2 linked regions of the Oryctolagus cuniculus genome follow. The protein of the gene in region 1 binds, or shares a complex with, the protein of each later gene. Links are inferred from orthologs where the notes say so. Each region holds a gene or a part of one and is shown on either strand. Other genes may lie near its edges.

What was found. Proteins that work in one complex are often made in the same cells at the same time.
Region 2: NAA50 (region 1) and HYPK share a complex: the UniProt entries of both Homo sapiens proteins name them as parts of the N-terminal acetyltransferase E (NatE)/HYPK complex. The link is inferred for Oryctolagus cuniculus from reciprocal best matches to the Homo sapiens genes NAA50 and HYPK.

What each region holds. Positions count from the first base shown.
Region 1 is NC_091435.1:69,729,790-69,733,289, forward strand, and holds part of NAA50 (N-alpha-acetyltransferase 50), read right to left. Parts: intron 1,964-3,500; coding exon 1,786-1,963; 3' UTR 1-1,785. UniProt on the Homo sapiens protein: N-alpha-acetyltransferase that acetylates the N-terminus of proteins that retain their initiating methionine. Has a broad substrate specificity: able to acetylate the initiator methionine of most peptides, except for those with a proline in second position.
Region 2 is NC_091443.1:66,686,291-66,689,108, forward strand, and holds HYPK (huntingtin-interacting protein K), read left to right. Parts: upstream 1-1,129; coding exon 1,130-1,291; intron 1,292-1,640; coding exon 1,641-1,696; intron 1,697-2,016; coding exon 2,017-2,068; intron 2,069-2,222; coding exon 2,223-2,318; downstream 2,319-2,818. Other genes in the region: SERINC4 (serine incorporator 4), read right to left, coding at 1-275. UniProt on the Homo sapiens protein: Component of several N-terminal acetyltransferase complexes. Inhibits the N-terminal acetylation activity of the N-terminal acetyltransferase NAA10-NAA15 complex (also called the NatA complex).

The DNA.
Region 1 (3,500 bases):
TTAAACGTTTAAGAAACTGATACCCTAAAAACCAGTATGGTCTTTTCTACATTTAACTATCTGGAGTTTAGAACCCTATAAACTCACTCATCAATTATCTTTCTTTTCTGTATTATTCTTGGCACTCAATTAAGTCTGGCAAAGTCTACTGTACTTTGTACTTTCACATTCTCAAACAAAAACTTAACATTATAAAGTGTACATAAGCACTTTGCATAATAATTGTCATTTAACATATCTGGAGATGAAACCTCATACCAGCATTTACAAAACAGGATAAGTATTATGAATCAATATTCCACTTAAGTCCAAGCCCTGTACACTGTTTTAAAGTTTAATGAGGGCATTTTTGGGGTCATCAGTACTGGCAATCTGTTCTAAATATTGGAGATGGGACTATGGGAGGAAAACATGAATATTTCAGATATCTCCTATCTCACAAAACTCAATCTGTCAAAGTCACTCACTAAGTGCCAGAAAACTATCTGGCATAAACCAGTCATATCAGTAGAAGAGGTCACAGTGATATCTGCATTATTAACACTTTGTACTTCTACTTTTCCAAGAATAGAAGCACTATGTTTCACAATTCCCCTTACCCAAAATTCTTCAACTCAAAATACATAGGCACAGAGTCTAAGCAAATCTGAGATGTTCTCCAACAGATAAGGTATATCACAGCTATGTTATTCTCAAAAATACTGTCTAGATATTCTTACCTGTATTATCAAATGATTGATGGTCACACTTTTAACAGCCTGCATTAGTCAACATTAAATGCATTTATTGTGCCACAAGTACATCTATGCTTCCTTTTTAGGTTATTTTTTAATATGTCCAAGAAGAAACATCTGCTTAAGGATTACTTAAGGGCATTGACCTATAAGGACATCAATTCCATTTTTAATACGAAACTATTACTGGATTTACTGAAGAAAAAGAAAAGGAGAAAAAACTTAAATCACAACAAACTTCTTTAGGTCAGTTAAAGGCCATATCTCTAGCTGGGATATTAAAGAAAAATTAATCTCACCAGCCCAACTCTCAAAGTTAATGCCACTAGTAACAATCAACAGCAGGAAAAAAAACCTGCTAACAAGCCCACTCATTAACAAAAAAGCAGTTTAATTCAAATACTTAAACCAAAGTATAACACTACCTACCCAAACTGCCCCATCCACCAACAAGAGAAGAAATAAATTGCTTTAGAAACCAAAATAAACTTAGTACTTCTAACAAGGATAACAATGGTTCAACTCCTGAGAGTGCTCAGAAGGAAGGACTAAAGGTGGAGTGAAGGCAATGTCAAGGGATTAATCCCCCAAATAGTCTTTAAAAATTCAAAGTACCACAAACACACTAAACTTGTCTATGAATTGGAGAACAAGATATTGCTGCTGCTTTTTGTCTTTTGAAATGAAAGGTTTTGTAGGCTCTGACCTTCAATGTGAAAGCAGGACATTAAAAAAAAAATCAGCTAAAAAATTTGAAATTATGACACCCAAATTTTTGGGACCATATATCTTAACTATGAAACTATACATATCTACCTTCTCTTTCCTTCAATCAAACCACCTCACAAAAAATAAGAGAACTAAAACAATCCAAACATGATTATTTTTGAAAGTCCTTGAAAGAATGAAACTTCTAGAAGAAAGGAAAGAAAGGGGGAGAAACAAGAACAAGGAAGGAAGAAAGCTTTAAAGGAAAGGGGGGGGGGGGAATCAATGGGCCTTTCTTTTATTTGGCGACAAGCAAGTGCAAGAAAGTTCATTTGTAATTTGTTCAGTTGTCTGTCTTTTGCACATCTGCATTCTGACCAGAAGGGACTTTGAGGTTTTTCTGTAGCACGTGAGCATCTGCTGGCTCTATCCTCTTATAGTAGTTCTTCTTTGTCTCAATAATCTCAAAGCCAAATTTCCTGTAGAAGTCAATTGCCGATTCATTGCTGATCTGCACATGCCTGAGGGATAGAATACCAGGAAAAAAAAATCAAAGTTCATCAGTTCTCCAGATAGTGTCACATTGTCTTTAGTTATCAGTATGCAACAAAGATTAGGCAAGTATTTCAGAAAAACTCTGGGTGACAATTTTACACTTTTAACTTAATCCCTACATTTGCAAGACAGATGGCTGAGATTAAGAGGCTCAATAATAGTGCTTATTCCTGCAGTCAACAAAGGTATGTAATATACCCTAGAAATCATGATTTTTTTTTTTACTGTAAAAAGAGAAAAGACAATAAAGATGATTCAAAGGCCTCCATATTAACACTTGCAAAAAAGAAAAAAAATCAGGGCCTCAAATGCCTAACTATACCCTCTTTCTGACTGATTATAAAAACATGCTATACTGTGAAAATAATCTGTGGTCTCTTTTTTTCAAAGATTTATTTTATTTACTTGAAAGACAGTTACAGAGAGAAAAGTCTTCCATCTGCTGGTTCACTCCCCCAGATGGCCGTGACGGCCAGAGCTGCACCGATCTGAAGCCAGGAGCCAGGAGCATCTTCCGGGTCTCCCATGGGGTGCAGGGCCCAAGCACCTGGACCATCCTCCACTGCTCTCCCAGGCCACAGCAGAGAGCTGGACTGGAAGCGGAGCAACCGGGACTAGAACCTGGTGCCCATATAGGATGCCAGCACCGCAGGTGGAGGATTAACCAAGTGAGCCACAGCATAGGCCCCATCTGTGGTCTCTTGAGATCCAAGTATAATTATAATCTGATTTTGATGAATAAATTCTACTACAAATATGCACATCACTAATAGCCTTGAAAAAAACATAGAAAGTACTAATAGTATATGGCATGAGAAAAGCAGTATTAATCATTTTGTACTATGCAATATGTGAGTCTTAATCCTGGTTTCATTCCTATGACTTTGGAACTCTTACCTGATTATCAAATAGCTAGCTATATCAAGTTTCTAATCTATTTTTAAAAGCAAACAAAACACATAAAACTTCATAACAGGGGCTGCTGCTGTGGCACAACACGTTAAAGCCCTGGCATGCAGCACCAGCATCCCATGTAGGCGTCAGTGAGTCTCGGCTGCTTCACTTCCAACCCAGCTCTTTGCTATGGCCTGGGAATGCAGTAGAAGATGGCCCAAGTCCTTGGGCCCCTGCACCTGCGTGGGAAACCTGGAAGAAGCTCCTGGCTCCTGATGGCCAGCTCCAGCTGTTGCGGCCATCTGGGGAGTGAACCAGAGCACAGAAGATCTCTCTTTATCTCTCTGCCTTTTCCTCTCTGTAACTGCCTTTCAAATAAATAAATAAATCTTACAAAAAAATTCATAACTATACTCAGCCCTCTATATGCACAAGGTCTGTACCCACAGACTTAACCAATCAAGGATGGAAAATATTCAAAAAGAAAGCACATCTGTACTGCTCATTATTTTCTAGTCAAAAAATGACAACTATCTACATAGCATTTACATCATATTAGGTATTCTAAGTAATGTAGGGATGATTTAAAATTACACAAGAGGATGTGCA
Region 2 (2,818 bases), on another chromosome or scaffold:
AACAGGCGGCTACAGGTAGAGTCTGTTAGAGTCGGCCAGCCAGGGTGGCAGCAGCTGGAACTAGGAACAGCCCCACAGCAGGACACCTGGGGACAGAGCAGATACAGGCTGCAAGGTGGAGACTGCTGAGGAAGGGGGTAGATTAATTTATGTGTGAGGGGAACCCTTAAGGTTGAATTCTGAAATCCCCCCGTTTTTCCAAGATCTTTGAGACTCCTTAGACAAACATCTGGGGCTGGGAAGAGGGAGTTTACTGAGGCAAAAAAAACAGGCATTACAAGAGGAAAAGCCTGTCATTTTTTATTGGCCTCCACAGGTTTTCTTTCTCCGCTTCAGCCACCCTTACACTTAACAGTGTTTCATATAGCCCTTGTTTAAGGAAGCTTTCCTTGTCTGTCTTGCCAAGCACCCTCTCACCTGGGAGAAGTGGGTTTTCACTGTGACATTGCCGACTCCGCTGCGCTGCTGCGCCAGGTCCAGGGAGGTGCTGGGGCCTTTGTCAGCCCTTGGACCCATCGTCTTTGTCCTTGGGATTAGGCCCAGGTCCTCCAGATGAAAAGAAGGTAGATGAGAAAGTAGCAGCAGTTTGTCTTCATCCTATTGGCCTGCTGCTTAGCTGGGGCTGAACTCCCGGTCTAAGGCAGCATGGGGACATCAGGAAAAGAACACTGCTCTCCAGGATGTGGTAAATGCAAATACCCCTGTGAAAGTGCTTCCTTGTCAGGGCCTCGCCCACTTAGGCAGTTCTCCCCAGATTAGGGAGCCTCCTGCGGATTAGCATTCTTAATTGGTTTAGGATTAGACCTCATCCAACCTGGGCAAACGGTTCCCTGGGGCAAGGGAGGAGGAGAGGAACTGTTTCTGCGCTAAGGGAGAAAGACGAAAAGCTATCGGGTTGGGCTGGTTTGGAGCGGTGATGCGTTACATCTGGGGTGAAGCCTTGCTAAAAACACTGCTACACGTCTGAAAGGAAGTCTGAGAAGGGAAACGCCTTCCCCGCTGAAGCTTCTAGAACGGCAGCATAAAGAAGGTGTGGCCCAGCGCCAGCCCCGCCTCCCCTGGGCGGAAGTCGCTGGTTAGGTACCGGAAGCCGTGAGGCGTGGCTGGTCGGCGGCGCGGTGGAGTAGATATGGCGACCGAGGGGGACGTGGAGCTGGAATTAGAGACTGAGACCAGCGGCCCGGAGAGGCCTCCTGAGAAGCCACGCAAGCATGACAGTGGAGCGGCGGACCTGGAGCGGGTCACCGACTATGCGGAAGAGAAGGAGATCCAGAGTTCCAATTTGGAGACGGTGAGGTTGGCCGCGAGTGCGTCTGGGCGGGCTGAGAGCAGAGGGGCTTCTGAGCCGGTAGCTGGAAGCCCGCGCAGACGGGCGTCCCGATCCCGATGGCGGGAGGAGCCAGTAGGGTAGAGGATAGTGCCAGGGGAAGCGGAGGTCACCGGAGCCCGCCTCTTGCCAAGGGGAGCTTGACGGATACTAATCTTAGGTGGAGAAGTAACACAATTGAATAAAACGTGGTGCTTGGATCCCAATTGCGCTGGCCATCAAGCATACATCCTGTGTCGCTTGTTACTGGGTTTTTAAAAAGGTCACTGGGGAGTGTGGGTAGCGAAGTAGTAACAAGACCTCTTTCCCATAGGCCATGTCAGTCATTGGAGACAGACGGTCCCGGGAGCAGAAGGCTAAACAAGAGCGGTAAGTGTTGAGTGCACAGCCGGGCAGCATTACCAGTTCCGTCCTCAGACATTAAAGACCATTGCTATGTCTTTGTACCGTGCTTCAAGTCTACCACCAATTCCTGCAGACCTAGAGATTTTTTGTTAATGGAAGAAAGGTGTCCTGGCCAACACCTGCCTGCCAGAAGCCTCTTAGAGGGAAGGAATGGCAGGAATGGTGGGAGTCATTTTATATTGTCACCCTGTTTTTCAAGATCCATTTATCTGCGGATTCCAGCTGATAATTCTCCCTACGAGTTTATGGTGGAAGTAGAGACTAACACACTTAAATATTTGCAGGGAGAAGGAACTGGCTAAAGTCACAATCAAGAAGGAAGATTTGGAGCTGATAGTGAGTAGTAATGCCTAACTAGTTTAGGGCAGGGAAGGTGGTTCTGCCTAATTTGGGCTGTTTCCTGCAACTAGTAGAAATCGGTCAGCATGTCTGGTGGCACATTAATGCCAGGGAGGAGACGTGGGTAACATGATCTATCCTTTTCCGGCAGATGACCGAGATGGAGATCTCTCGAGCAGCAGCAGAACGGAGCTTGCGGGAACACATGGGCAATGTGGTCGAGGCTCTTATTGCCCTAACCAACTGATCAGTGCTTTCTTACCCATACTTACTGGCTTAATTTATTGCAATAAAAATGTTTTGGTCTTTATTGCTGTTTTTATCATCTTGGATCAAGTGCATTGTACATCACATTTTGTTGTGGCAAACATATATATGTTGAAATATAAATGAATTTAATGACGCTCCTCCTTCCCCACAACCCAAGAATTGGCGTAGAAGAGTTCCTTGTGTTCAGATGCACATAGTAGGTGGCTGGCCAGTCCCATTTATCTGACTAGCAAGCACACAGCGATTACTGTACTCCATGGCATGTGTCTCCAGGACAGCTTATTATTAATAGCTGAAAGGCCAGCACCAGCCTTGTAGCCATTGTGTAGATACAGGTTACCAACTCAGTTCACAGGCCAGTTTAAGTTAGAATTTAGGTATCCCAGGCAGAACCATGGAAAGAAGAGGGGCAGAAAGGCCTGACACAGAATTGATCTATGGGAGATTTGAATTCTGAACTGTAACACATTCTACATT